Struthio camelus: one gene and its partners. The protein of the gene in region 4 interacts with the protein of the main gene of each other region in a pairwise test. Links are inferred from orthologs where the notes say so. Each region holds a gene or a part of one and is shown on either strand. Other genes may lie near its edges.

Region 1 (7,262 bases), on a different chromosome or scaffold from region 4:
GTCAAAGAAAGAGGCTTATGTAATAGTCCTAAATCATCACGTTACCACTAACTGAGGTTCTTGCAACAATGGAGGGGGAAAAAAAAATAAACACGGTAATTGTAAGCTCATAATTGTACTTCTGGTTACTAGAAATCAGCTTAGTCTGACAGAATCTTACTAGTAGCTACTAATTAATGATCAAGTCAGTTACTTAACTGATTAATTAACTATGCAAATCAACTATCTTACTTGTAAAAGGAGATTCTTGATCTGCAGATTCTCTCTCACAAACTGTCTGGCCAGGAAGGTCAGATGTTAAGCTAGAGCTGTCCCACAGGGCAGAGACAAACAGACACAGAGGCAGTTTTCATATTCACCTACGACTGTCCCACCCTGATGAGGTTACAAGCCATCATTCTTGGTCCCTCTGACTTTGTGTCTCAAAATGCAGCTGAAACTACAGATTCACCATTAATTTTACAAACAATAAGTGCATTAAAGTGTATTTGTAAGTCTTACTTGTCAGCATATACCTTCAACCTGGGCCATAATGGATATATTTGAGAACCTTAAAAAACAAAAACACCAAAAAAGAACACTTCCCCCCAAATTAGCCTTTGAAAAGCCACAAGAATTCTTTTAGCAGGCCTAGCAGAAAGAAAAATGCATATGTCACATGATAACACCATTGGTTATAACCTTATTTTCAAATGAATTTAAAACGATTCAATCCCCTCACCAGCAAGCAATTAAAAAAGAAGACTTTTGATTGTTTGGGAAAAGGCCAGGAACGGCTGGAACAAAGTTCACTGCTTCTATCTCCAAGACAGAAAGGGCCTGGAGACATCACCCTGGCTGGATTACAGCCAGATCCTGTTAATCCAGCAGGGAAGCCCAGAGAGTGGCAGGTTACAAGCATTGACAGCTCTGAGAAAGTAGTTAAAGGAGCCCAGACTTGCTGCCTTCCAGAGGAGGGAGGCTGGAAAGAAGGAATGGGTTCAAGAGAAGAGAGCTGCTACACAACTGTCTCTCAGGTCTTCTCTCAGACCAAAGAAAATCAATCAGAATGGTATGCTTAAGTGCAGTGTTTTTACCCTAAACGTGACTTTGCTTTCAGACTCCTCATAGCGTTGAGCTGACTCTCAGGGCTGCTCGGTTGATAGAGGCCCTTGTAAAGCCAAAGCCCAGGACGTGGGGAGCATTTTTGGAAAAGGTAAGTGTAATAGTGAAGTTACTCCTGCCTCCTAGCTAGCTCTTTGGCTGTGCCTGAAACTACTGCACAATAAAAGCAGACAATGTTAAGAAATTGGCTGCTGAAATGGATGAACTGCTAACAAAATGAAGAGGTAAAGAAATGCTCCAGGTCTAAGAGACTACTCCCCAGGAGTCTTGCTCTGTCCCAAAGACGCACAGTTCTTGTTAGCCCAGAAGATCAAACACAGAGGTGAGAGGGGTGAGGGGGAAGACCCAGGTCTGTAGACCGTCCTGAGACCATGGTCTGAGGGGTTTCTCTTGAAGCAAGTCCCTTACAAAAAAGAAGCAAGGGGAAGGGGGCATTCCCTCTTCTATTTTTTTCAGATCAGCCATTTAGCAAATGCACCTTGGAGGGAACACTGCAAGTTCCATCATCAGAAGAGAGAACAAGAGGAATGTTTCTTCTCTAGTAGAAAGGAGCAGGACTGCTCCTCTAATTCAAGCTAAAATATCAGCAGCGTCATAGGAGAAGGCTCACAACTTTTTGCAGTGTCAGAAATCAGGCATTTTTTTGAAACACTGCAAACATGGATCATTGTAGTGAGAGGAAACTGAAGCATCCTCACTGGAATTCAGTTCTGACCAACATTTGCTGTCAAAGCATTGCATAATGTTTTAGATACCCAAGGCAAAATAAAAATTGAAGGAACCACAGCAATAGGCTGTTGTGAAACATTTGGTACATTTGGAGGTTCGGAAGAAAATCAGCCAGGGTACAGGGGAGGGGAAATTATTTTCATTTCATCAGAATGAGCCTGATATACTAGATGGAGATCAACATGGAGCCTTCCCAGCTGACAGGGCTCCCTCAGACACCTGGCATCCTTCAGGATCCTTCCACAAGAGGCCACTTGCAAGGCCAAGAGACTGAAAACTTCAGCTCTCCTGCTCCATGCAGACCTGCAGAGAGGCTGCCTGGAAAGAAGCATGGACGTATTGGAGCCCGAGCATCAGGACCACCACCTGGCCTGGCACAATTCAGGAATCCAGCTCTGCCACCTGGGATTTCATGGACAAACTGGCTTTGCAGTTTCCTCCTCCCTGCACATTGATATTTTCCTTTTGCAGAATTTTTACACTTTGTTTTCTATCCATGTTGGAACGAAAAACAGCTTCAGAGGCTCAAAATCCCCCGTGAGTTGGGACTGCCATTTCCCACACGCTCTTGCTCACTGCACTTTTGCTCAAGCCAGGGCTCCAACGAGAGGCTGAACCTGTAACTACATATTGGCAGAGCCATCTAGTGGTCGGAAGTAATTTACTTTAAGGCAGCCGAGCTAAGACCACAGCAAAAGCCAACCAATGCCTCCTATGTTTACCGTTGCCCTCCAGAGCACTGCGGGTAGAGGCTTTGTCTATGTCAAAAAAATAGGGTTGCTCAAGCAGTATTGTCAGCTGCTGCCCTGACAAGAGATGCCATAAGGATGTCCAATTCCATTAAGTCATGATATTAGGCAGGTCACAACTGTCGGTGCAAAGCGTCAGGGTAACAGCAGCATCCTGTTGGGATATGCATTTGAGAAGAAAAAGGTATTAAAAACTTAATACTGCTTGCACTCTATGATTTTCTCTCTATATCTTCTCCCCTTTTCTTCCACCCAGGCAGTATTCTTTACACTGGCAGTTCTACAAAAGAGACTAGCACACTTGCAGAGAAATGTCAAGAGAACAGCTTCTAAAAGGTAAAGCAAAATCATTACACTGATTATGAGGATGAAACAAGGAAGAAGTAACGGGGAGAACTGCCTCTTCTTCCATTGAGGATTTCCACTTCACGTTCAGAAAAGTTCACAAGCAGCCGAAGCCTTGAGAGTGCTGTTTGATTCCTCATTAAACAACTGGGAGCATTAAAAAAAATTATCTTCCTTCCTTCCTTTACAGTACATGAAGTGCATATATAGTAATCAAATGTTATCTCTCTCTAATAAAGCATTCTTAGAAAGGGGAAGTAAAGCAAGGTCAAACCGTCTTGACAGGTTGCACTTGAGGACAGTGATACAGCTCCTGCGCTACAATGAAGTCCATTCAGCCACAGAAATTTGCATGCGGTCTTCTTTTCTTCATGGTGAAATGCATTTCTCCAGCAAAAAGAGAACAGAGAAAACTGGACTCCCCAAATCGGAGCTTCTCCAGAGCTAAGTGCTGTTCTGAGTATTTATGAATCAGATCAGATGCGAACTGCTGAGAAGAAAAATAATAACCTCTAAGATACAGTGAGAAAATACTCTTAGAAAGCCCTGGGTTTGCCCTGAGAATCTAGTTTAATCAGCAGTTAATTCCTCACTTCTAGACTATTGATTTCAGTTATGGGTTTCATTTTCTTTTAATCACATCTAATTGAGATAATAAAGTTTCATTTAATTTTCAGTATGTGAGATTTACTAGAAGAAAGAGATATGACAAGTATTTGGTACACATGCAGCTTTAAGCAACTTCACATTAGCGGCAAAGACATTTTTCCCCTACCACAGCACTCACTGAGTACTACGTTAATAACATAGTCTCTTTATGACATTAACTTGCGGCTTCACAGAGTTGGGGAGAAAATTAGACCGTGACAGACTTGTTAGAAAGGTACAGAGAAAGACAAGCAAAAAAAAACCATACTGCTTCCTTGTTTCTTCGGTGTCATCCAGGAAGAGTAAATCACAGGGTTTGTCCTATTTGTTTGGTAGTTATTACTATTGACAGAGCACTGAGCGAGTGCAGTTCCTGAAGCAGATAAAATCAGTTGGGTTTCAATAATAGAAAAACCTTCAAAGATTACCTGAAGTGCTGAACACCCTTTAAAAATTTGGTCCATTTTCGGACATATCCCTTTCCCAGGCAGCGTCCAAAATCACCAGCCACTTCTGCAATTTTAGTTTGTAGCTTTCCAACTGTCCAGTTAATGGCTGAGAAGAAGAAAGGGAATTTTTCCTTTTCTCCTTCTTGAAATTACAACTTGTCATAATTTTTTTCACTAGTGTTTGTGGTGAGATTTTTAAATTCTCATTTCTTGATAACATCTTTGCATGAAGATTTCAGTTTTCACTGGAAAATAAAAGAATCAAAGCCCCGTACTTGCTAAGAAAAAAATTATAATCCAGAAGGATTCTGAAGACAAGCTCTAAAAATCTGTAGAGCCAAGAGTTGGCTTGTGCTTCCCTTAGATCCTTAGATTTTGAGAGCACATGGCTCACAAGTTATTGTAAGCAGTGCTCATATAAGGAGATTTACAATCAAAATTCAGTTGCCTTATTACGAGGTGGTCTTTAACTCCTATGTCCAAACTGTGATTAGCGTTTTCCATTTTTACCTGTTTGCAGTGAGTATGAGAAAAAAGCCTGCTACACCTCTTAATCACAAAAAGAGCATAGTAAGAAATATTTATGAGAAGTTCCTTAACCGTCCATCACTGTGAAAAGGGTATCATGTCCAAGATGGGCAGGGTAACAAGATGGTAGACCCTGGGAGCGGAAATAAAACTTAGAAAAAATTATTACTGATTGCAAAAGATGGCTCTAATACTTCTCTGCAGCCATCAGCACCTCTGAACAGTCAGAATTTACTATGATTCTTGCTTCTTAAACCACTATAGCTTTTGCCAGAATATCCACACCCCAAAAAAATCATTAAAATGACTGCAAATGCAGATCTAAAGACATTAAACACTTGCTTCTTGAATCTTGGGCAACTGAGCACTTTCTCTTATTCCTTTTCTGTGGGATTGCCCTCACTGTAGAAAAATCAGAAAGTAAAGCAGTGAACGTTTTTCTAAACTAGAAGGTAACATGTGGAAACTAGCTGCAGCAATAAACTATAATTATCCTTTCACAAGAACAATTTCCAGTTTTTCCAAGAAGAACTGGCTTTTTTGATGTCATGAGCCATACCTCAGCAAACTTTTTTCCCTTAAATTCCATCATATTATGGCACTCCCCAGAGTTAATACAGCACACAATACAATCTCATTCTCCCTCTCTCACTCTCCCTCCCCCCCTTTTTTTTTTGTAAAGGAGACAATTTTTCACTAGTTTTATTTACCATCTTCTCTCTCTTCTCTCTGTTTTTCTTCTAAATTAGTCTCAGGTGTTTATGTGTTTTATATTTGGTTCCCTGTGTTCTGATACAGAGTTCCTCAACTTTTTTCAAATCTGTTTTTATACAAATATCTTTTGAGATTTATTTAAGAAAAGTAAATAACCTCAAAACTGTTTAGACTTCCCAGTGATAACAAATACAAAATAAAATCAATATTATCAACTATTTCATGGCAGTGCATAGCTCACAGAAATCACAACCAGAGTAATTAGTCCTATTTTGATGATCTTCTTCAAAATACAATAGCATGTATCCATTTTAATTGTTTCTTCAATCTTCCTTCTCATGTTGCATGCCATTCTCGCAACAAAAACAACATGGTAGTACAAGTAACTAATGAGCAGCAAATGTCTGGAGAAAAGCTACCCCACACTCAATATTTCTCATTGCAGCACAGCTGTAATTTATACCAGTTAAAGAGTCTAAGGCTAATACAAGGACTTTAAATACCCATCATCTAAATTATCTCCATTTAAGTCAACTCACTTGATGACACAACTTTCAACACACACTTTTTCTAATATGCGGAACGGGGTATTTGTCCTCGTAGCTGATCTCTCCTGCTTTCCTCAGATAAATGGCACTATGCATCCTGTTTCTCTTGGCATTTATATAGCTTCTCATGTCTTCTGACCAGATATTATAGTTTAGCTCATCTGCTTTGCAAGCATTATCGAGGACAATAAGGTTATATTAGTCACGTCTTGTTAAAGCACAGGGTCATTGAAAGACCCGGATACAACTCATCTAAGCACATCAGTGACTGAACACAAGTGAATTACTATCTCATGATGAGCAATGATGCTTTTCAGACATATGGACATGACTAGAAACACCTAAATGACAACAAAGCTCTGGGGGAGCATCTGAAAGCAAAAGTCCTGCCCAATACCAGCAAACTGCTCTTTCTGGAGGAGACCTGTTAATATACATTCCCTAAAATCTAACAGTACCCTAGAAGAAAATATAAAAGTGAATAAGATACGCTTCGGCATCACACTGAAGTGACTTTTACACGCATAAATTGCTCCCATCAACTAATGTTAGTGGGAGTTTTAGTACAGTAAAAAGTTAGCACCATAATCATGCCCACAGCAAAGATTTCTTATTTTCAAGCCATAATTATTTCTACTTTGTAGCTTTCTCTTCCACAGAGACTCTCAGGAAAAACAATCTTTTCATTCAGGGAAAATCCTCCCACATCCTAGAAATACTAAAACATGTAAAAAATAACAAACTTCAGTTAAAAAAACTCATAGCTTTGAAGGAATTAAAAGTTTTCTTTTCTTACCATGCAAAAATGAGGGGAACTGTTTTATCTAAAAACATAGACAAATTAGACAAAAATAAAGTTTCGCGGTTGTATTGTCCAACAACATAATTTCCTTTTTCTCTGCATTGAAAACTTTGCTGAAACCTGCATCCTAGCACGGGGTGACAAAAACATTAAAGTGGTGTCAAGTCATAATATCACAGCTGAAGTTCATTGTGTCCTGAATTAGTATTATTTCTACTTCAAATTCTATGATAGCCTTTAACTCAAAATTATAATAATTTTTATGTAATGGAACAATAATTTAAAACAGAGCCAAATACATAAGAGGCTTGGAACAAGAAACTCAGTTCTGTACTATATAGACTGTAAAAGCACTTTTAACCATCAGTCCGTGATTTGTTGAGATCAATGAGGAAGAAAAAACCCAAGCTACTCCAAACAAGAAAAACAAATTACTTCCAAGAAAAGGACTTGCTCTCAAAACTTTTTATATTTGCCACTCCAGAGTTTAAGGTCCAATTCTTCGTAGAAGAGAGCCAGCTGATCACAAATATAGAGAAGTATAAAGAAATGTAGAAAGGTTGAATTCAAGGTAGCCAAGGCTTAAACTCCACAGAGCTCTGTAAGTCAGATCAGCAGGCTGAACAGCTGTTAAAAATGGATTTCA
Region 2 (7,830 bases), on a different chromosome or scaffold from region 4:
TTAAGACTCTCGGCAGCTTCCGGGGACGCTCGCGTGAACGTTACTCTCCGTCGCGGTGCTCCCAGCCCGCGTTTTCCACCCCGGGCGGAGCGGATGCTCCCGAACACCCGCTGGCTGCGCAGGGCCGGGGCGCGCGGGGCACCAGGCCCGGGGCTCACCTGGAGCTCAGCGACGCGGGGCTGCCGGGGCGCTCGCTGCTCCTGGCGCCGGCGGGATCCGCCGCATCCGAGCGGGCTGCCTGCGGGGCAGTGCGTCACTCCCAGCCCACGTCCCGCTTGGGGACGGTGCCCCGGGGCTTTGAGATGCTCCCAGCACCCCTGCCTACCTCCCGCTGCTGCCCAGTCTGGCGCTGGGGCTCTACTAGGGGCACTGGGATCGCTCACCTGCTGCCTGGCAGCCTGGGGGGAGCCGGGCAGGCTGGGGGGCACCTTCTTCAGCACCAGCGTGGCCCCGCTCGGCTTCTCCAGCAGCTTCTTTGCCAGGTTCACGGGCGTCCAGCCCACCTGCAAAGGGCACCGGCCACCGGTGGGACCAGCGGCCGCCTGCCCTGCGCTCGCCCCCCGTCCCCCCGCCGTGCAGAGGACACGTTGCCAGCAGCTCCTCCGGGGATGCATCCCTGCATCCCGCAAAGCAGCCGCTCCGGGAGACGGACTCCGCCGCACTCACCACGACCTGCTCGTTGACCTGCACGATCTCGTCCCCGGGCAGGATGGGGGGGCCGCGCACGGCCAGCGCCTGGGGGCAGAGGGGAGGCAGCGGGATGGGGCGCCGCGGTGGCTGCCCCCCGCGAAGCGCCCGAGGCGCTCGCACCGCCAGCTGAGCTGCGGCTGGGGGAAAGCAGCGGGGCTTTGCAAAGCCCGGCTTAAACATTAACCAGCCGGCCTGACCTTTTGGGCCATGCCGGGCGGCCGGCAGGAGGGAGCCCAGGGGCTGGTGGAAACACGGCGCGGAGCGGGGTTCCCGCTGCAGCCTGGCCTGTGCTCACTCGTGAGACGAGTTGCACGGGCTCAGCAGCGCCCAACTCACCTCCGAGGGGGTCCCAGATACGAAGTGCAGGCCGGAGCTGGTGGATGTGATCTCCAGGTCCTGCGGAGGGGGACGGGGAAGGGAGCCGTGAGCGGGGCGGCGGGCAGATCCGGGGCCGGGGCCACCAGGGCACTCACCAGCGTGGCGGTGGGCAGAGCCGGCGCCAGCCCCACGCGCTGCAGCACGGCCGTGCGGTCCAGCAGCTGCCCGGGGCTGCAGCCCACGATGCTCTCGCAGATGCCCACGATGTGCTGGCACTGGGGGCGACAGAACCAGGCTGAGCGGGGGGCGACGGTGCTGCCAGCCCCCCCCCCCCCCGGCTGCCCCCGGCCAGCACTTACGATCGTCAGGATCCGGCCATCCCTCTCGGCCGCTGGGCAGTCCTAGGAGGAGGCAAGGGGCTGAGCACAAGGGCCACCGCAGGCAGCGCTGGCTCCAGACAGCACCCAAGGGGTCCGGCCTGGGGGTCCCTACAGGTAGCCGAAGCCCCCCCAACACCAGCAGGGTGAGAGATCGCCAGGTCTCCTCTTCCTCCTCCCCGGACCCCACCGGAGCCGCTCTCCCGGCGCAGTCTGGGCCCTGCCGGCACCGTCCCAGCCAGGGTCCCCGCGGGAAAACCAGGCTCCTGGGGCAGGGGGGGACGGGCCCTGCGACCCCCTGTGCCGCATCCCCCATAACGCTGGGAGCCCTGGCGCTTGCACGGCTGCCTCCAGCACACACAGGCTTCGGATTCGGGAAAGCCCGGCTCATGCCCATCACCGGGGCCTCAGGGCAGGGCAGCCGCCCGCGGCACTCACCTCCTGCAGCGCCTCCGCCAGCTCGGTGCAGAGGAAGACGATGTCGCGGCTGGCCGAGTAGTCGTTCAGGGTGGAGAAGAGGTACCTGGAGGGCACGAGAGGGAGACAGACAGACGGATCAGGGCCGAGCGGAGGGTGCCCAGCACCCCTGGGTGCCCCAGGGGGGCCAGCGACGGTGCAAAGGGCTGCCCGCCCTCCCGGCCCCGACCTGTTGAGCCACGAGAAGAGCTCCTTGGCGGCCCCGACGAGCTCGACGACGCAGGCCAGCAGGTCGAGGGAGGGCGGCCGCGGCTCGGCCCCGGCGCCCGCCCCGGCGGGCTGCTCGCCCAGCACCAGGGCCTGCGCCCGGCCCGCCAGCGCCCGCAGCTTCTCCGCCAGCGTCCGCAGGCTGGTGCTCGCCAGCTCCTCGTCCTGGCGCAGGAGAGAGGCGCCGGGGCGGCAGGGAAGCGGGCGATGCTCGAGGATGCTGCCCGCATCCGGCCCCGGCGCGGGAGAGCGGGGACGCCCCGGGGAGAGCGGGGGCCGGCGGCACTCACCAGCGCCCGCAGCTGCTCCACGGCCTCCAGCAGCAGCTCCTGGTGGCCCACGCGCCGCACGCCCAGCGCCTCCAGCGCGCCCGCCGACAGCCGCAGCACCTCGGCCCCGGCCAGCCCCCAGGCCTCGAAGGGGTACCCCTGCACCGCCGCGTCCAGGCCTGCCCCGGGGACGCGTTGCCCTGGAGCTGACGGGGCGGCAGGGGGGACACACCGCGGGTCCCCCCGCCCCGACGGCCCCTTCGCCGGGTGACGCTGGCGGGAGCGGCGGTAAATCCCCGCGGGCGCAGCCGGGGCGAGCCGGATGCTGGGCACCGCCTCACCGTGGAATGAGTCTGCCGGGTCTCAGCCCATCCGGCACCGCAGCCCGGCTGCAGCGTTGGGGGGGGGGGCACGAGGCCCCCCCCCAAGGTTGGGAAGCGGCACCCCGCGCGCCCCACTCGCTCCGGGGGGTGAGAAGGGCCAGCGCCGTGACCCCCCCCCCAGCAGGCACGTCCCCCCACCACCGTCCCCTTCGCTGCCTCCCCGCAGCCGCCCCCAGGTCCCCGCCGGGGTGGGGGACGGCGGTGGCCCGGCCGGGGGCCGCTCACCTCGGAGCCAGGCGGCCGCCTGCGCGGGGCTCCAGGTGCCGACGGGCTCCATGGCCGCCGCCGCGGCCCCGGCGGCAGCCGGCACACCTGCGCCAGGTAAGGGCGGCCCGATTGGTGCGCCCGGCCGCCACTCCGCCGCGCAGCCCGCCCCCGCCGCCCAGCATCCCCCACCCCGGCCTGCTCCGCTCGCCCCTCCGGCCCCGACGGAGCGGGGAGAGCCCCGGCCCACCGAGACCCCCCCCCGCCCCGGCACCCGGGCCTCGGTTTCCCCGCTGCGGGGCGAGCGCCGACGCGCGCTGCCTCAGTTTCCCCGGCCCGCTCTCCTCCCTGCGGCCCCGCTGACTTATTTCCCCCCCGCGCTGGGCCTGAACCGCCGGGGACGGTGTCTGCGGCCACGTCCTGCGCTGCCGGGTGGGAGACGGAGGGCCGCGGGCACGCGCCTCCCCCCAGCTCCCGGCCCGCCGTGCCTTGGTTTCCCCCAGGCAGGCAGCACGGAGGGGAAGGCCGTCAGCTCCCAGGGTGGGACCCCCGCCGGGGGCGATTTCCCCCCCCCCTTCCTTCGCAGGTGGGGAAACCGAGGCACAGGGCGGCACACGCCGGGGCCCCGCGGCCAGCTCCGCCGAGCCCCAGACCCCGCTCTGGCTGGCCGGGAGCTGGCCTCTCCCGGAAGGTGCCTTGGCGGGGCCGTCCCCCCCTCGCCCGGCCGTGCGCTTGGGGGAGCAGCGCGCGCTGATCGCTGCTGACAGCTGCTGATGGGCGGCCGCGCCGCGCTGGGCGGCCGCACGGCGATTTCGGAGCCAGGGCGCAGGGCTGGCGGCCCCCGGCCGCGGCTCGGGTCAGGGCTGGACCCATGGTAGGGACTCGGCGGCAGGGGGGGTCCCACTGCCGGGGCCACGCGCGGCCCGACCCCGTTCCCGGACGACGGAGCCGGGGGGCCCCCGATCCAGCTGATCTCCGTGCGGGGCCATGCCAGCCGCGGGCCTTTCCTCCTGCCTCGCCGCTCTCCTCTTCCTCCCGCAGCTGCCCATCGCCCTTCCCCGCCGCACCATGATCATCCGCCCGAGACGCTTAACCCCGGGGTATTTTCGCCTGCTCCAGGTAAGGGTCGAGCTGGGCTGGGGCTGGGCACGTGGGGACCCCCCGGCACCGTGCTGCCCGCGAGCCCTGTCTGCCGCCGCGAGCGATGCCCGGCCGTACCCCAGCTCCCGGCCCCAAAGAGGGCTGGAGCTGCCTGCGAGGGTGCAGCGTTGGGTGCTGCCACCGAAGGCAGAGCCCAGCGAGCGGGCAGAAAGCCCAGCCCGAGAGCACCCTCGCGCCCCTGGCTAAACTGCATCTTTCTCCCTTAAATCCCTCCGCGTTTCTTCTGGGCGCAGCCAGGACATTCAGGGCACGGCCGTGGTCAGCGTACCCGGAGACGCGTGTCTTCGCGCAGCCCCCGGGCTAGCCCAGCGCGTGCCGGAGCGGAGCAGGGCCTGTCCCCGCTCCCAGGGCCACCGAGTCCCGTCCCCGGGGTGGTTTCGGGTCTCGCAGCGCTCTCCTCTCCTCCCGCAGATGCAGCTGGCAGGGTGGCGGGAGGCTGAGCCGAGGGACCGGCTGGTGAATCACCTGGCCCTGCTGCTGGCCGCCGTGGGGCTGAGCCTCTCCTACTACAGCGCCCGGCGGATGGCCGGCCCCGCCAAAGCCTCCCCGGAGCCGTGAGGCCGGGGAGCTGGCGGGCGCTGCCTGGCCCAGGGAACAGTCCCGGGCTCCAGCGACATCGCACCCCTCCCCGCTCTCTCCAGCCGAGCCCCAAGCTGGTGGCACGGGAGCTGCCGGACCCGCTCCGCTCACCAAGCCCTGGCTACGGGGAGCTGCCGGATGCGTCTCCTGACTCACTCTCGCCTCATAGCCCCTTCGTAGCCCGCTTACGCTGCATCCTGCCCTTCCCCTCCCTGCCTTGGCCTTTTGTTGCCCTGGAGCTGAGGGGACACGTTTGTCCCCCTTTTGGGAGCTAGGACAAAGGATGGAAAAGCCAACCCGATTCTGACTCCGATTCCCCAACAACACAAACCGACGCTGCGAGCTGGCAGCCAGGGTCACCTTCCAGCTCAAGAGCTGCCAGGCGCAGCCCAGGGACCCAATTTCAGGCAGTGGCAAGCTGAGCCCTAAACTGAGCCGCTGCCGAGAAGCCAGGATCCTGCCACCATGAGACAACCGAGCCTCAGTGAACAGAGACGCATGGAAAGGAGGGCCTGGGTGAGGCATTGGCCCCCCTCTCCCCACCCTGCTCCCGGGAGAGGGGCCCACGCAGCCCTTGCGCCTCGCTGGCAGCCGCACAGGGCTCCCTCCCCGAACCGGCGCAGGGGAACGTGCTGCCTCTGCAGTCAGGCCAGCTCCAATTAACAGCCGCTCCTCCCTCCCCGGGCGGCTCAGCCAGCAGCCCCACGTCACCAGCCGGCAGAAAAGAGGTCAGCGCAAAGCGCTGTTAGATAACAACAGAGCTGGGAGGGCTGGGACCAAGATCAGCCTCCGAGCAAGAGGCTGGGAGTGGAAACGAGGACACAGGGTTGGCTCCCATCGGAGAATTGCTGCCTGCGAGCAGGGGGCAGATGCCCCATCTCCCCACCAGGACCTTCCCACCTCTCCCTCTTGCACACCAAACCCCACACTGCTCCGAGCTGCTGCATGGAGCAAAGCTGCCCCTAGCAGAGAGTGTTTAGATACCAACTAGAGAACTAGGTTTAATTGCCTCGATAACCCTGGGGGGAAGAAATCTGGTCAGTCTGCATGCAAATAAATCTTTTCCTTCTGAGCAAAGCTGCACTGTCTCGCTGCCTTTCTGCTGCTACAGCTGAGCGCTCCCTCCTCCTGTGGCTCAGCAGGGGGGACAAACCTTTCATCTGTTGTTTTAGTGCCACAGTTGTATCAGTCAAACCTGTTCTGCAGGAATTTACGGCAGTCAGTGCCATTGCAACACGGAAGCGTTGCAAACATTGGAGTCGCATAGCAGAGAGAGGCCGAGCAGGGAGGCGCTGCCCTAGCAGGGGCGGGAGCACCCGACAGCCTGGGCGGCTGAAGCAGGATCCCTGCGCAGGAACAGAACAGCACTGGGCTGGGGGATACGCGGTAGGCACTGGATCACACTGGGTGCGCGGCCCCATGCCGCTGCTCTCTGGGGGTATGAAACCACTCACCAGGCACTGCGTTTTAGTGGGCAGAAGCCCGGAGGTGTCCCTGCTGGGAACACATTAGCGCCTGCCCCTCAAAGCGCACAGGGGATCAGGGCCCACTCTGGGAGCTCAAATCAGGCAGGGCCAGAAACACAAAAAGCTGCTTGCGATAGACCCAAGGGCTTGAAGAGCAGTTCGTTCCAGCACACAGTCCCCCAAAAGAAGCTCCTGTGCTGCACCTTCCACCAACGCGTTAGGATCCCCCTCACCGGAAGACAAACCAGAGGGAGCTTTACCTTCCTGTCAGGGCAGGAGAACTGTGACGAGGCCATTCCTACAAACTGATAGGCACTCTGGGAATATTTCACTTCCAAGGTTCAGGAAAAGTTTAAAATCGAGAGACTACCCTCAATCCAGAAGGGCAGCTGTCCCCACTACCTCAGCACTGCTCCAAGCCAGAGCCTGGACCACACTAGCAAAGAATTCTGCATTCAACACTGCCAGCCTGTTGATTAACATACTTTAATGGGTGACTTAGAGGTGTCAACCTCTAACCCAAGGAGAAGTATCTAAAATTGCTCTAAAACCAGAGAGATGAGTGCACAGCCATATAACATTTACACCAAGCTGCTGCTTGTCCCTTCCCCAGGAAGGGGAACACAGTCTGCTGTCAGGCACATAGTACACAAGCGCCCTCCCCAACGAGGGCATCCAAGGTCTCTCTGGCTGCCTTCTCCTCATTAGCTCTTCAGCAAGGAAAGCTGCCAGGAAAACTGTTGCTTCGTTGCTGGGAGGCTGGAAGAGAGCTCGTTTTCCTCACAGGGCTCAGTAACAAAACACCTTTTTTGCAGCACTGTAATAAGGGCAGCCCTGGCCCTCTAGTCCGCTGCACTCAGCTGGACGCCTCCATCTCGATTTCTTCATCGATCGGTTGGGTATGTACTTCTACCTTCTTTGGGGGGATGTAGGATCCCATTCCAGCCGCTCTCTCTGCCTCCTCCTGCGTGTACGGCTCCTCGCTCAGCTGTTTCAACCTGAAAAGAAGGCAGAAATTACTGTTAAACCACCCATGTGAGTTCTGATGTTCACCTGAATCTCCTTAAAACAAGCCAAACTCCTGTACAAACTGGCCCAGAACTGACACCACCAGCCTCACCCTGCCAAAGCTGGAGACAGGGCAGAGCCCTGTGGCTACAGGCGCAGCTCCGGGGATGGCACGAGGACCCACACGGGCGGCTCACAGTGCCACAGAAGCCCCCCCCCACACTTACCTTTTCTTGTGCACCTTGGACCTGAAGTGCTCCTTCATGCTGGTCAGATCTACGAAGTAGCGCCTGCAGGGAGAGACTGAGGGTGAGAGGAGCCCGAGGCAGGAGCGGGGCGGGGGACAGGGAGCGACAGCCAAGCCCAGCCGCCTCTGAGGGGCCCTCGCGTGAGGCAGCCGCTGCCCGGGCCCCAGCGGCAGCCCCCCCACTACCAGCCCACCCCGTCTTGGGGCGGCCTCCATCCCTTCCCGGGACAAACTACCGGGGTTAGAGCGACCCCTGCCCCAGACCGGCCCCCCCCACCCCCCGCGGCCGTTATCCGTTTCGGCCGTTACCCCCCCCCGGCCCGTGACGCACGCGCAGTGCAGGCAGTAGAACTGGGCGCAGCCCGGCAGGTCGGGGTCGGGCTCCTGCCGCAGCAGCCTGGCGGCCACCTCGGGCCTGAGATCCGCGTGGATCTCGTCCAGGTC
Region 3 (7,503 bases), on a different chromosome or scaffold from region 4:
AGCAGGTGAAATGCAGAGGTACAAGGGCAGAGAAAGGACAGCAGGCCAAGGACAGGCATCCCCAGAGGGAGAGGGGGGATGGGTAAGGTCATAGAAGAGGAGATCACCCTGGCACCCATCCCAAGTGCCCCAGCCCTCTGACAGGGGGCAGACTTGTCCTTAAGGGCATTCCCACCCTTGCCCCTGGAGCACCCCATGCCTCAGACAGCTAGCACCAGGCTGCAGCTCATGAATCCCAGCCCACGTTACAGAGAAGGGAACCACTTCTGGGGGTCACAAGGAAGTGATGCAAGAAGGCAATGCAAGGACACCTCCAGCATTCAACTTAAATGCTTTTATTGACAATGTCTCTGAACAATAATAAGCAAACAATGCTTAAGTCTCATTCAAATTCACTTTCCACATGTCAAAAAAGACCTCAAGGTAGAAAAAAATAAAATAAAAATATAAATATCTGATAATCCATCTTAATAAATAAATTAAAAACACAATAAAAACGTTTTCATGGAAAACTTATGTCAGAACATTCAGACCACCTCAACAATGCATGATCAGTAAAGTTACAATGAACATCAATGTAGAACTACAGTACATGGATATAGCTATTTATCTACCTACTAGAAAATAAAATAGAGTCTCTTCCCCCCCCCCCCCACAGAAGATGGGTCATTGCTAAGTCATCAGAACACGATATTGCCAGGAACACAGTTATTGTTAATCAGCTGCACTAGATACGAGTTGGAGATACCCAGCACCAGGTTAAATCCCAATAATTTAAAACCAAGAGATTAATTAGTTAATGCTAGTGATACTAAGGAGGGGAGGGAGTCACCAACCCAGCCATGTGGGACATGCTACAGACTACCAGCTCTCATGGGTGGGCCATTGGGGACAAGACAAATTCCATGCGATTTGCTACATCTCTGGAAGAGGTACGAGGCCTCAGCACAGGGCGCTCTGCCAGGCCCCAGGGTGCCAGGCCAGACAGAGGGGGCAGCGGTGGTGGGGCCCTCCCCGGGCCTGGGGACCCGTGGGGCACAGCGGCAAGTCCATGGGGGCGCACGGGCAGGGGAGGGGGCCCGGCAGGTCAGTCAGTACAGGGGCCTTAGGCCACTCACAAGGCCAGCAGGGTGGGGGAGCTGAGAGAGTCGGACGAAGGCTCATTGCTGCTGCTGCCCTTCCGGTGTGCGGCAGCGCAGCTGGGGAAGGTGTCCGCCTCGGGGTAGGTGAAGACAAAGGTGGAGGTGTAGGTGCTGGGGCAGGGGGTGCAGGTCACCACGGGGGTGCAGAGGGGCTCCAGCTCCCCACTGGTCCCAGCACCCAGCGGCTCCCAGTCTGACGCATAGAAGGAGGAGGCCCCAGGCAGGTCCATGTCAGGCACCGAGCGGGAGGCCTCCCGTGGCCCTGTGGCAAAGAGCAGCTCATCGAAGGGCTCAGCCTTGAGCTCCAGCCCACCTCCGCTGGTCTCCTTCGGTGGTGCAGCCGGCAGGGCCTCAGCCAGCAGCGGCAGGGTAAAGGCTGCCTCCTCGGTGGCAGGGGGACTGGGGGCACCCAAGTCCAGCGCGGCAGCGGCTGCCAGCTCCTCGGAGAAGCGCAGCTCCTCGGGCATCTTGCAGGCAGGTCGGTGGGCTGCCAGGATGAACTCCAGCTTCTCCTTCTCCTTCAGCAGGTTGGCTATCTCTGCCTGCAGCGTGGATTTCTCCTCCTCCAGCTGGTCGGTCTCCTGCAGAGAGAGCGGGCTGTCAGCCAGGGCCAGCCTGGTGCCCCGACCACCCCCGGCCAGGCCGGGACCCCCCTGCCCCCCCGACCGGGCCACACTTACCGCCTGCAGCGTGTCCGTGAGCTCCCGCCGCCGGTTGCGGCACTTGGCCGCTGCCATCTTGTTCCTTTCCCGGCGGATCCTCCTCTTCTCCTCCTCCTCCGGGGACAGCTGCAGGCAGAGAGAGGCCGCTGAGTCGCGCTGCCAACCCCGTGCCCCGGCAGGGGCAGCCCCGCGGCCCGAGCCCCGGCCCCCCCCCCCGACCCGGCCCGACCCCCCGCTCACCTGCTCCACTTTGCCCCTGCGGCCGAGGCTCTGCCCGCGGGCTCCCGGCGCCTTGAGCGCGGCGGGCCGGGAGTAGGCGCCGGCGGGCGCCGCGACGCCGTAGGGGTGGCCGCGGCTCTGCGAGGGGGCCACCGAGGAGACGAGGGTGGGCTGCACCAGCCACTGCAGGTCGGGGCTGGTGGAGATGGCCGTCACCGTGGGCACGAAGCTGGCGCTGGACACCGCCAGGTCGGCGCAGAAGTCCTGCGGGGCGGGGGGGAGAGGGGGGCGGTGAGCGGGGCGGGCGGCAGCGCCCCGGGCCGCCTCCCGCAGCCGCCGGGGCCGCGCCGGCCGCGGCGCCGCGCTGCCATCACCCGGCTCCACATGAAAAGGAGCTGTTATAAATATCTCTGACGTCCGCGCTGACGCAGACGCCGCTCCGGAGTCTCCTCAATGAACTCGCGTTTTATCAATGAAGCCGCTTTACGCACCCGCTGCAGAGCGCAGCCCGGGCCACGGCTCCCCGCCCGCCCCGCCGCGGGGGCCACCCCGCCGCCGCCCCATGCGGCCCCGGCCCGGGGGCAGCCCGCCGCCGTCACGCCGCCCGGTCCCGGTCCCGGCCCGCGTCCCCCCCCCCCCCCCGCCGGGGTGTCCCACTCCTCCTCCCCCCCGCCGCCCCGGCCCTCACCTGCGGGTTGACAGGCGAGCCCATGCTGGAGAAGGAGTCCGCCGGCGACGGGTAGTAGGTGAGGCTGTCCCCGGCCGGAGAAGCGCTGCTGCAGCGGGAGGAAGGTGCCTCGTAGTCACCGGTGAAGCCCTGGTACATCATATCGGCTCGGCTCGAAGGGTGCACACCCGGGGCCGTGGGAGCGGAGTGTCCTCAGGCGGGAAGGAAAGAGGGAAGGAGATCGGGAAGGCCGGCTGCGCCTGTCCGTGCCGCCACCGCGTCGCTCCGGCTCCTGCTCCGCCACTCGGCTCGCTCTGCCCTGGAGTACCGCGCCGCGCCGCCCCTTTTATACCCTCCCGCCGTGTGAAAAAGGCCGACGTCACTGGGGACGCACCACCCGCGCCCGCGGGGGGGGCCGCCGGCCCCGCGCCGCCCCGCCCCGCCCCGGGGCCGGTCCGCCCGCTCCGCCCCCACCACCTCCCGCGGGGGGGCCGCGCCCAACGGCCCGGGGGGGGGCGGGCGGCCGCCGAGCGGCGCGGCGGGGGGAGGGGCGGACCGGCGGCGGGGCCACCCCCCCGCGCGCGTGCCGCGTGGTACCTCCCGCGCGGCGTGGTACCGCCAAGCTCGGGAACCCACTGACGCAGATATCCTTATATGGGATACATCCTGTGCAAGGGGGTGTGACTGACGGGAACCGCTCCAGGCTGCAGCCAAGTGCGGCGGCGGCGGCGGCGGCGGCGGGCGGCGCGCCCCGCGGGACTGGACTGGACGGGACGGGACGGGTCGGGTCGGGTCCCCGCCGGACCGCGCGCCCCCCGCGCTCCCGCTCGGCTAGAGGCGCCCGCACAGCGGGCTCGGCGGCACGCAAGGGCTCGGGGCGCAGGGCCGGGCCGGGCCGGGCAGCCGGAGCGGCAGTACTCCTCCGAGGAACACACGTCTACTTTTTTTATTGCAAATAAATCCCGGCGCTGGCATCGAGCGATTTCTGTCTGTAGCCCGGCGCTGGAATATTACAGGCTGTCCATGTGGAAAATCTAACCTACTCCATTTCCTGCAGCGAGGAAAATGTTACACTCATGTGGCATTATTTACTTTTCTATTATATATGCAGAGAAAGAGCCGAGAAGGAGGATAATGACACAGGGCGCTGGGAAGCCTTGCCAGGGGAGCCTGCGGGGCTGCAGGGCAAGACACGGCCCCCAGGAGGGCTGGGAGAGCTCGGGAGCAGCGCCCGGGGGTGCCGGGATGCCGCTGTACCCCCAGCGGGTGGGCAGGGGGCCACCAGGAAACCACCAGCAAGGAGCAATGGGTGAGGCTTGTCCTTTCCCCTAGTTTGGGTTTTGTTTTGATCCCGGTTGCAGCGAAGCCCGGAGACACCCACCCACGACGGGGATGTCAGGCAGCCCTGGCTCAGGTCAGGCAAAGCTGGGAGCCAGACCGCAGACTCGCCTTGCACGGGCGCCAAGAGATCGCGGCTATAGATAGTAACAGGGAAGCTGCAGCAGCAAGCATGTTTACAGCAACAAACAGAGCCTGCAGCGCAGTCTCCAAGCAGGAGCGTCACCCAGCCAGGCTGGGATCCTGCTGGCAGCCTCTCCCGCTCTTTGAGCTCATGGGCTAAATGCAGCGCCTGCTGCTGCTGCTGCTGCTGCCGCCGCCGCTGTTGCTGCGCGAGCAACCTCCGTTCTTAGAGATCTGGGCCACGGGGGCGGGAGAACTGGGCCAGCTGCTATTTCTGCGCTGCCCGTCAGAGCGGAGGGGACAGCCAAGGACTGCCGCGGCGCACGGCCCGCTCCGCTCGCCAGCAACGGCCCATGGGCTTCTCGCCACCTCTGCGCCAGCCCAGGGGCTGGTCCTGCTCCAGCCCAGCGGCTGGCCCCAGCCCGGCGCGGCGCCCAGGGCTGCACTCTCCGGCCAGCCTCGGCCCCGCGCTGCCGGCAAAGGGGTCCGTCCTCGCCGGTGAACTCGCAAAGCCCCGGCCTGGCCGTCCCTGCCCGCCGGCCACCACGGCCGCGTCCCCGCAGGGCCCAGGAGGGTGGCTCGGGCTGGAGAAAAGCCTGCAGCACAGTTCAAGGCCCCAAACATTTCCCAGCCACGCGTTGGGGACTGCTTGCTGAGCCCTGCTCCCGCCTGCAGGCAGCCCCGGGGTTCCCCCTGCCAAATCGCACCCGCAAAAGAAACTTCTGGAAACCAGGGGGAGGACCCGCTTTGCCAAGAGCCCAAAATATTTTGGTGGTGCCGATGCAAGCCGTCTGTTGCCGTCTCCGCTGGCGACCCAGCGCGCTCTGTTTGCACCAAACGGAAAGTGCACAGACGCTGCGCATCTCCAGCATGTGCCGACGGAGGCAAGGAAACAGAGAAACCAAAAACACATGACGTGGGTTTGTTGTTTGCTCCAAACGCGGGGCGCACACGGTTTTACCACACTGTCTGTGAAAAGAAAAGGAGGAAGTGAGCAGTACCGCAGGGACAAAACACAGTCAGAGCGCAACCCTCCTGCCCGGGTGACGGGGTTGCCCTTGCTCCCGTGCCGCAGCCTGACAGAGGCACTTTGCCTGGCTCCGCCAGCGGGGAACGAGCCGTCCTTTGGCCCGCTCGCAACAGCAGCACACAAGTACCATGAGCCCGCTGAGTACCGCAGTGCTGCTAAACTCGCACGAGCAGGGTCGGCAGGGCTTTGCCAGGCCCCCGGCACTCGGCCGGGGCTCGGCCCGACGCGCCGCTGCCGGGCTGGGACCCCCCCCCGCCCCCGGGGCGCGGGATCCCCCGCCCGCGCAGAGCCCCCTGCGCAGGCAGGGCTGCCGGCTGCTGCCTGGAAAGGCCCGCCGTTCCCACGTGCCCGGCGGGACGGAGAGGCCACGGCCACTGCAGCGCGAGCCGCGCAGCCACCGCCAACTCCCGGGTCAGGATAGGGCTGTGCCTCCGTCCGGCCGCTCACCAGGGGAAAGTTCACGGCAGCAGCGCGGCCCGCCGGCAGCCGGGCAACAGCTCACATGGATCCTCTCACCACAGCTAACCGCACCGAGCGCTTCCACGTTTCACTTTCCGGGCGCGCGCCGCGACAAACATGTGCCTCTTGCCAAACCTGGGGCTGCTGCTGGGGGGTCGGCAGTGCCGAGGGGCCCGCGGCGGAGCCACCGGCGGGGGGGGGGGGGGGGGGGGCACAGGGACATGGCCCTGGGCACTAACAAATAATTCCTTGCTCTCAAATGCTCCTCTGTGCTGAGAAGCCGGCGCAGCTCCCCGCGGCGGCGCAGACCTCGCAGGCAGCAGGGGCACTAGTGCAATTCCCCTCGCACAGGCGCACGCTGTTCGCCGTGTCCTGCGCCGCACACTCTCCCGGCACAGCGTGACGGGGCCCCTCCGCCTGCCTGGCCCCGCGGAGGCTTGCAGAGCGGGGCAGGGACCGCGGGGCTCTGGAGCGAGCAGCAGGGAGCAGTAGGAAAGGGGGCTGGTAAAGCAGTGGGGGGGGGGTGCCCCCTGCCTTGCTGTGGCAGAGGAGCAGGCGCTGGAGAAGGGCCCCGTCACGTCATCCGGGGGCTGAGCTGTGGCTTTCCTACGAACGCCACCTCGCCTGGGAGCTCCCGGGAGGGCAGCCTTCCCACCTTCATGGCTCTTTAAAGTGCAGAGCCTACCTATAGCCAAGTATAAATAGTAATTAATAATCACAGCAGCTGGGTGTGTGACAGGGACATCCTAAAGAACAAACACGGCGAGCGGAGACATCCTGGCATCTCGTGGTCGCGCAGCCACATGCCACCAGCTGCCAATTACCACCAATGATGCTGCCAGCGCCTCCCACCCGTTGTCACCGCGCTGCCTCTGGCTCTTGCCTGCACCGTGCTGGATGATGCCACCTCCCGCCCGGCCGGACCTGCCTCCATACGCTCACAACACCGCGCTTCGCACAGACACGGCAAGTCTCAAAGGCGGCTTCGCCCATCGCGGCACGTCCTGTACGCCCCTGACCCATGGGCCGGGCTGGCCTTGGGACCCTCACCTCTAGCAGCAGCGACCCCAAAGTGACGTTTTATAACCCAGAGCAGCGCAAGCACAGTGTCCTCCAGGCAACGCTCCTGCTGCCGGCACAGTCCCTTTTTACTGCTGGAGCCAAGCTGGCCTCTTCTCTCCCTGCGCCTCTAAGGTGACGAGCCCACCCCAGGGCGCTGCGCGTGCTATCATCTATCCTCCTAGGGCACCATCGGTCAGCCGCGAGAGGAGAGGAAACTACGCGAAACAAGGTGGCCCACGTGTTTGTAGAACTGCTCAGTATTTAGAGGTAAAACCTCAGAAATGAAGCAGGGCGAGGAAGCAAGCTCGCACGCTACGGTGAGAGGCAGCACGTTCAAGCCCCATGACAGACAGACTGACAGAGGTCTTCTTCAGCTAATGGAGCAAGATCCAAAGGAGGCGAGTGCAGCGGCGCTTCCCTCGCTGGAACCCCCCGAGGAGCGCGCAACAAAATCCGACACAAGCAGGAGTCAGCCTGGGCTTTCCATCGCACCCACGAACCTCACCGGCGCTTTCTGGGGGCGGCGGCGGCTGGGCCGTCCCGCTGGCCCCCTCCGCGCGAGCTGCTCTTCCCCGCAGGGCAGGCAGCCAACGCCAAGCTGGGCTGCAGGCTGGGCTGTGGCGAAGGGGCCCTTGCGTGCCCTGGGTGTGGGGATCCCGAAGGAAAGGGGACACGGGGCGGGGGGGCAGGAAGTGCTGAGATCAAGGAGGAGGAGACCGCTCTGCTTGGCTAAGGAGATGTTGTTGCGGGTGGAGAACAAAACAACAGAAGTCAAGGAAAGGGACAGGATGTTGAGGATTG
Region 4 (7,683 bases):
GTCATGCTTATACAGCATGGAAGAGTGAGATAACTCAGCCCAGTGTCATTTCAACTCCTCAAAGGATGTCACATGTGAGACTCATTACATCATGCCCATTTCTTTCTGGCGTTTATTTTGCATCGCCCTGCTATGCATCCAGGAAAGCAGAAGTGGAACCAGTAACTGGCAGGCTGAAATAGACTTGAAGTGGCCAAGTTGTAAAACACAGAGTTTTTAATGCACCTATCAGTCAAACACCAGTGAGTAGAAATCTGTCTTTAAGTGCAGAAAAAAGAGGGATGAGGAAAAGAGGAGGAATCATTGTCAGACTGAGTCTTAATTGTAATATTCAGCTTCCTTTAGGTCCACGACAGACCATGGCCCTCTCTGTTAAATTATCTGGGTTATCAAGGAAACAAAGATTGCTGTGATCTCCTTGTCACGATCACTATGATCTGTTTCTTTCCATCCTGCTGTTCTGGACTCCTCGTTGTCTAGGAGCCAGAGTACATCACAGGTCTTTTCCAGGATCACACAGCACAGGCATACCAGAATGGTCAGAGGAAGACGGGCTGTTGCATCCCAGATATTGCTTCAACAAGGAGTGAAGACATGGCCACACTATGTACCCAGATACAGGAACTACGAAGTTCTCTGAAATCCCACCATTTAAAAGAGCTTCTGAACCTTGATTTTGCTTCCTGCTTTCCTTCTGTCTTGCTTCATCAGGCTGCCAGAGCTGAGACTGTTCCTTAATAAATTTTGATGGTGCACAAATGTAACAAATCCATGATCATAGCTCCTGAATTACAAATAATTATCATAGTTTTGTTGTTTCCCTCATTACTGTCTTTTGTCAGTTTAACAGGCAAGTTTAGACTCATTCTTTTCCCTCCTCTCTCCCTCTCCCATCCCACCAAGCCATTCCTCCAGGTCTTTGTGTTAAAGGATATTGCTAGATGATCTCTGAAGAAATCCACGCTTGGAAAATTTCTCTCTTGCTAGATGCCCCTTTACCTAAACTCATCCCTCTGAGCAATGAATGTCACATTGATCAATGGCTTTAGGGTTTAGGATATGCGTCCATGTAGTCTAACATCTTTTTTCTGGCTGTACTGGATAAAAAAAATGTAGTGTTCTTATTCACATATCCTGCTTTTTACAGTGCCCACTGTTCACTCTGGAAACTTAGTAGGTAACAACCACAGCCTATTTTGCAAGAAAGGATAAGACATCATTCTGATTTCTCAGCAAAGATGTTATGTCTGGAAGCCTGAGAAGCGATAGGTATTTGGCTCAATGTTCTCTCCTATGCAAGGACATGCTTCACCCATTTCCCAAGCATCTGAACGTCTTCATGCTGTCAGAAAAGCAGTGTACGTCCTATGATTCAGTTCAATAAGCTCTCTCAGATGGAAGCCCGCGTGCCATGGTGATGGAAAACAGAATGGAAACTGTACAGCACCATGCATGAATGTTATGTGGTATTACTGAGTGATTTTGAATATGTCACTTGCAGACTCTGGGAGTCAGTAGAGGAAATCTACAGGACTGCTAAAAGCAAAGAAGAAAAACAAGTTCAAACTTGGAAACTTGTGTGAGACGTCCTGCCGTCACACCTTTCTAAAGGGACAGAATCCTTCATGGAGGACTTGTTAGAGGTCCACAAAGCAAATAAAAGTTTGAAAAACATGGAGGGATGCAGTAGGTAACTAGGATATGTCATCATCAGGTAGTGAGCAATTAGAAAGAGCCGTAAATGCTGAGCCAGACCCCTGTCAGTAGAACTTAGTGAAGGTTCCTTAATGCTAAGTATGGGGTCCTAGCTCATCTCTGCTAATGAGTTGAGAAGCCTTTCTCAAATGCCCCATTGTGGTAGTTGATGACTCCTGTAGCAGAGTACCACAAGCTGGATGAATACTGATGGCACACATGCTGGGGCAGCCTGAATTTCAGAAGTCAAGCTGGATCGTGCCAAAGCAAATATCCCTTGTCCAGGAGCACTTTTGCATGGCCTGGACTGTTACTGAAGAGATTCCCTGGTGAACACATTTTTTAGAAGGCTAAGCAGTGAGGAGGAGGTAAGGTCCTTACCTTAATGTCCTTCAGAAGCTCCTCTCTGTGCTGCCTGATTGTCTCTATTTCAGCTTCTTCAGCCTCGCTCAAGTCAGATGGCTCTGGAAGAACAAACAGGTGCCTGTGAGAAGGGTACTGAGGCCCAGCACATCACAGGCAAAGCTGCCTCAGCCTCCCAATGCTCATCCTCTCCTTCTCCTAGGATCATGCCACAGTACCTCTTATATCCATGTTCCAGCCTCCCCTGCTATTGCAGCTACTGCACCTCAGATTTGCCCTGCAAATGATTCTCAGTCCAAAGCCAGCAACTCAGCCCACCATATCCCTCCTGCCTGACAGCCCTCTGATCTAACCCTGCAGCAATCTACCCTGCCTACTCAACAGATTTTACTCATTGCGAACACAGTGAAGAGGTCTCACCAAACGCTCTTTGGTGGTTTTCATGATAGTCACTTTTATGTACAAGATCTGGGGAACAGGAAGGCTGTGACCCAAATACTCCATCTAAATCCAAATGTCCCATGAAGAGCCACTAGCTTCATTGATTGATCTACCATAGCTAGAGACAGAAATGGCTTATGAGAGAGAATCAAGATTTTTCAAGTCTGAGAGCAGGATCTCGGGGATGAAAGCACTGCTGAAGGACTGTCTGTGGGAGACTGCTGTTCTGCTCTCCTCCCCCACTGTGGACTACAGACAATACAGAAATATGAGCAGGCTTCCTTGTAATGTACAGGAAGTCAAACATACAGCAGCAGAGCCAAGGAGACCACAGAATGATTCATAAAAGACCTTAAAGAATTGGGGTGACAGCAGTGCTACTAAATATAATCCAGCTGGAGCGCAGCATCTTCAGCAAGGAGAAAGAGGAGATTGCAGCCACAGAAAGGCAAAGCAGATGGTGAGCCACAGGAAAAACCAGGGGTTCACAGAAAGCTGAGAGTATGGCGCTCCTGGGAACTCACTGCAGAACTCACAGTCAAGGTCTTTGCTGTACCTAAACACTGAAAGACAAAGCTTCCTGGCAAGTCAGGTCAGGTCACTGGATGCCCTGTTCTACTGTTTTATAAGCTAAAATCCCCTGGGCCTCCCATCTTCCTGGAAAAAGGGGAAGTGGCACCAGCTGCCTTGGAAATACTCTTAGTGTGGATCTCACATGCAAAACAACTGCTATAAATATGAGTGGGGAGAAAAGGGGAAGGAACCAGCTAAGACAGATAAGAGGAAAGGGGACAAAGGCAGTCAGGTTGGAGCCTATATGCTTCTTTCCTGCCATACCCAAAACAGCTCAGAGAGACCTGTCATCCCTAATCCTAATTTTTCCCCCATCCTGGCTGGTTGGGTTTCTATGTGCTAACTCTGTGCTAGCACCTTTTCCAGACTGCAGCCTCTCGCTGACACTCTTACAGACATTTTCAAGCACTGCATTCCCCAGGGAGAGGCTGCCACACCCCTGGAGGGAAAGCGTCGGGCAAGTAAACATTGGGAAGTGTGGGCTGAGAAGGGCCCATATCCCCTCCTAGCTCTGCAAGGAACCTCCATGAAGAGCTGAAAAAACCTGACTGCTTCTGAAGCTGGTTGAGAAGGGAGGAAAAGTTGTGGCATCCAGCAGCTTGCAACAGCCAAATCTGTGGGCCAGAAATTAAAAACAAATAAACAAAACCCCATGCAGTGGCTTTGCTGCATGTTGGGCAGGTTGCTGACTCCCCCTTGAATGTCAGCCTGGCCTGTGAGCAGTGTTCAAGAAAACCTGGGCCTTTCAACTTACTTTTATGTCTCCCCCAGTTCTGGAGCCTGCAGGAGATGAGGCCAGCCTCTCCACCTCTCCAGCTTTATCTCCCTCACCCCCTGGGGCCTGGGAATTGTGGAATCACTGGAGTCATACCTTGTCAAATTATCACTAAGACATCTTGGCCTGTACTTGTTTCCACAAAAGCGCTGCAGCAGGACTCACCTGAGGAGTCTTCCCTTCCTCCATCCCATCAGCAAACTGAGTGGTGTGGCTGGCTGCTTTGCTTCAGTTGCTCTGTGTCTACTGAAGCAGCCTAAAGCATCTCAAAGAGACATGAGGATCCCAGAGGATATTGTCTCACTCACATGACCCCCGCTGAAACTGTAAATAACTCAGTCCCCCTTTCTCCTGAACATTTGAAAACCCCAACTGATTTACCTGCCCAGCCTGTCAGAATGAGGAAAGTATGGGGAGGGTGGGGGAGACAAAGCATATGAGTCTTAAGGAGAAGGGGAAGGAATCAAGGAATTAAAAAAAACAGAAGGGGTGAAAAAAGGAGGGAAAAAAAATACAAGGATCAAACTTCCAGAGCAATTTAGGTACCCAAAGGTGCAGAGAGGGTCCTTGTAAGGTTTTATAAGTAGCCTAAACAGCTTAAGTCCCTGGTTGCCTTGGAAAATAACTCTGAGGTCAGTTCTTGTAAATCACTCTGCTTCTCTAACAGAACTCCTGATGCTCTGTTCCAGGCTATTTTGAGGCTATTCATCAATGTTAGTGCATGCACTGGGGACTACAGTTAGGGGAAGTGAACACAGAAGTCGTGTTTGGGGAACCGTCCATAGAAAGTCACAGAAAGCAACAGAGGCGGGGGGCAAGCAGCAGATGAGATAATGGGAGCAGACTGCTTTGCCTTCCTTCCTTCTCCACTTTCAGAACAACCTGAATCAGCAGGAGAAGGAGATTTTCAGTGAAGTATTACCCTGACTCACTCCAGACTCTTGGAATGGCAGGGGGAATTCATCCCTACACAAGGGGACTGAGGCGGGGTTTCAGCACCATCAAAATCCTCCATACCACCAAGTTCCACTTCCTTTTAGGGTCAAATCAGGACACAGATGATGCATAGCCCATGTCAGGGTTCTCTGCACAGGGGGAAATTTCACCTACTGCTGAAGAACACCCTATGAAAACACCCACAGGTTTCAGGGGGATGCTGGCAGTCAAACACAACTCTGAAGAACACAACACATAAGCAGTGTGTTGTGATACTGGCTAGTACCCTCTCCGAAGTGGACTTGTGGCTGCTGGGAACCTAATTTCCAGAGAACAGATCTGGAGGGAGAGCATGAGAGCACCACACTTGTGGGACTCACACCTGCTCTGGAGGTTGCTTTTTCGCTCAGGGCAGACCCATATAGAAAGACCTGCCGCTTGCTCATAAATCACCCAGCCTTGTGTTTTTAGTGCTGGATCTCAACACAGAACAGAGATTTAAATTCCAATTGTGGTGTCTTAGGCCATCAGCCTCCTGATCTGGAGAGCAGGCTGGAGTTACCCAGAAGTCTAGGTGCTCGTGTGGCCAGCCAAGAGTAACTGCTTCCCATTGCAGTGGGCTGTGCAAAGCTGTCCAGGTGCAAAGTGAGGCCTTCAATTCCAAGCAAAAGTATACAAATGAGAAAGTAGCTTTTGGAGCATAGAGGTAAGTGGGCAGTACTTACAGGAGAACTGGAAGGATGGTCTGTAGAAGCAGCAGTGGAAGGTTACCAAGAATGACTGTCTGCAGCACTGTTATAGACCATCCATGTGCATCCACGAGCATGCCTACAGCATGACAGCAGAGGTTCAGCTGGCCCCTTTTCCAGTAAATAGTATTTACTATTTTGGCCACAAAAGACTTTAGGATCCTCCACCCAGGACAACACACAAGCAGACCAGCCTGTTGGGCACCACCTGCCTGGTTGAGCCTGCGTGATGGAAGAATTTTACCTGAAATTCCTTCTCTTTTTTGAATTGGGCTACAGGACTGTGTCATCTTCAGCACAGATGACCACCCACCCAGCCAGGTACCAGGGCAAGGACCTACCAGTTACTCAGTTCCCTCCAGCCCAATCTGTTTCTCTCCTGCAGCCACTCTACAGTTCTCTGCCAGCTTGTTCCAGAAGAAATTCAATAGTGAGCTCACACAGGTAGAAACTGCTCTTTCCTGCTATGTTGGGGAAAGGTGGGAAGAAGAGCTTATGTTGGCTATTGGTCCCCTTATCCCACATGACAACCTACAGCACTCAGGACAGTTTCCAACCACTTTAACCTGGGGCTCCCACCCCGCACATCCTGTGTTGTGATAGAGGGGTACAGGCTTGCTCCCCCAACCCCTGCTACCCAGCTCAGTGATTTGGCATATTGGCTTTGTGGCCTTACCCAGGCAGTCACTCAAGGGTCCTGAAGGAACCTGAAAGAGGAAGTCCACTGCAGGGAGAACAAACTCCCCATAGACATAGGGCTCAACTTCACCCAGCCTGAGCAGGCAGGTACCTAACAGGGGCGTTGCTTCTCTAGGTAGGAGAGACTCCAGGAAAAGTACAAGGAGTACACACACCCATGTCTTTCAGACAAATGATGCCACAACTGAGCAACTTGAAACACATCCAGGGCTCCAGAGTCCACTGGAAACCTGCATCTGTGGGGAGTCTTGGCTCCCAAGGTGGAGCAGCATCAAACAAGCCTACTTCCTAACCAGACTGTGAAGTGACAAGTTGGGATTGAACAAAGACACCAGTCAAAAATCTCTCTTCAGGCATTGCCTGTGTCCTGGCTCTGCCTCTAGCGAGAGCTGAGCAAAACCTCATCATCCCTGAGCAGGACCCCTTTGCACCACTGCAGTGCATAGTTTTAAGATATAATTAACTCAATAACACATAATTTTACTAGATGACTGTCAGACTATCCATTCTGAGAGCCCCAGTTTTTGTGGAAAATAGACCTTAAAATAAGCTCTGTACCGGCAGAGAAACATGAGATACCCACCTCCCTTCCCACCTCAGTTTGTCCTGCAGCAGCTTTCTTTACTTTTGCTTTCAGGCAGTGAGAGCCGGGTGCTGTGAAGACACCCACCTTCACCAACACACACAGCCAAATTCTGGCAAGGGCTCAGCTCCCATGAGTCCCACCAATTTCCCTGGCAGGCAAGCCCAGTGTGGGATTTGATCTGGCCTGTAGAAGCTCCTTTGCCATCTAGCTAGGAGCTAACAAAGCAGAGAACTGTTGCTGAAATTGAGCAGTGCTTTTTCCCTTCACTCTGTGCTACATATCTTATATGCAAAGGCCTGCTAGGATTGAGTCTCAGTGTCCTTGCAAAATGATCCCTTTTCTTTCTTGCTCCTGCTCAGCCTATATCCTCTCTGCTTTTCCTTTCCATTGCCTTTCATCAAGCATACACACACATAGCCAGAAGGGGGCTAGAAACAGTCTGTCAATTAGTATCCCTTGATTTGCTAAATCCCAATCACTTTATCCACCACCTGCCAAAGTAGGAAATAAAAACTGAGATCTCTCTCTGTTTCTCAGATGCAGCTCATCTCCTCCACCCACGCCTGCCTTTTGAGATTATTTTAAGACTAGGCAGGCCCACCTGCAGGTCATTTGGAAGTGCTAGAACCCCAATACAGTCATTTGCCTTAACATGGGGATAAGCAAGAGAGGATGCCACTGCCAAAAGCCTTGTAAGCCTGTCACACTGGGAAACTCAACTGCATGAGATGCTCTTGCAAAGGCAAAACAGCTCCTGGAGGCTGTAGGGAAACATTACTGAGGAGCTTGCAAACCATACCAGAGCTGCATGAAGAGAAGCCAAAGCTTATGGGCGCTCATCCCAAGTGCCACGTGTACACCGGATA

What was found.
Region 1: the proteins of CYTH4 (region 4) and IPCEF1 interact in binary tests that used the Homo sapiens proteins (3 or more experiments, as listed by UniProt). The link is inferred for Struthio camelus from reciprocal best matches to the Homo sapiens genes CYTH4 and IPCEF1.
Region 2: the proteins of CYTH4 (region 4) and CNKSR1 interact in binary tests that used the Homo sapiens proteins (3 or more experiments, as listed by UniProt). The two-hybrid records come from large-scale screens. The link is inferred for Struthio camelus from reciprocal best matches to the Homo sapiens genes CYTH4 and CNKSR1.
Region 3: the proteins of CYTH4 (region 4) and FOS interact in a two-hybrid assay, tested with the Homo sapiens proteins (2 studies listed by BioGRID and IntAct). The two-hybrid records come from large-scale screens. The link is inferred for Struthio camelus from reciprocal best matches to the Homo sapiens genes CYTH4 and FOS.

Annotation. Positions count from the first base shown.
Region 1 is NC_090944.1:79,650,828-79,658,089, reverse strand, and holds the start of IPCEF1 (interactor protein for cytohesin exchange factors 1), read right to left. Parts: upstream 3,010-7,262; 5' UTR 2,995-3,009; coding exon 2,937-2,994; intron 1-2,936. UniProt on the Homo sapiens protein: Enhances the promotion of guanine-nucleotide exchange by PSCD2 on ARF6 in a concentration-dependent manner.
Region 2 is NC_090964.1:7,138,976-7,146,805, forward strand, and holds the start of CNKSR1 (connector enhancer of kinase suppressor of ras 1), read right to left. Parts: upstream 3,014-7,830; 5' UTR 2,999-3,013; coding exon 2,947-2,998; intron 2,545-2,946; coding exon 2,360-2,544; intron 2,235-2,359; coding exon 2,032-2,234; intron 1,909-2,031; coding exon 1,824-1,908; intron 1,410-1,823; coding exon 1,368-1,409; intron 1,284-1,367; coding exon 1,164-1,283; intron 1,087-1,163; coding exon 1,027-1,086; intron 736-1,026; coding exon 667-735; intron 504-666; coding exon 384-503; intron 239-383; coding exon 159-238; intron 1-158. Other genes in the region: ZNF593 (zinc finger protein 593), read right to left, coding at 6,988-7,129, 7,367-7,429, 7,718-7,830. UniProt on the Homo sapiens protein: May function as an adapter protein or regulator of Ras signaling pathways.
Region 3 is NC_090946.1:57,949,212-57,956,714, reverse strand, and holds FOS (protein c-Fos), read right to left. Parts: upstream 3,013-7,503; 5' UTR 2,853-3,012; coding exon 2,712-2,852; intron 2,288-2,711; coding exon 2,045-2,287; intron 1,931-2,044; coding exon 1,823-1,930; intron 1,724-1,822; coding exon 1,115-1,723; 3' UTR 320-1,114; downstream 1-319. UniProt on the Homo sapiens protein: Nuclear phosphoprotein which forms a tight but non-covalently linked complex with the JUN/AP-1 transcription factor. In the heterodimer, FOS and JUN/AP-1 basic regions each seems to interact with symmetrical DNA half sites.
Region 4 is NC_090942.1:59,011,168-59,018,850, forward strand, and holds the start of CYTH4 (cytohesin-4), read right to left. Parts: upstream 3,011-7,683; 5' UTR 2,582-3,010; coding exon 2,479-2,581; intron 2,160-2,478; coding exon 2,077-2,159; intron 46-2,076; exon of another isoform or gene 1-45. UniProt on the Homo sapiens protein: Promotes guanine-nucleotide exchange on ARF1 and ARF5. Promotes the activation of ARF factors through replacement of GDP with GTP.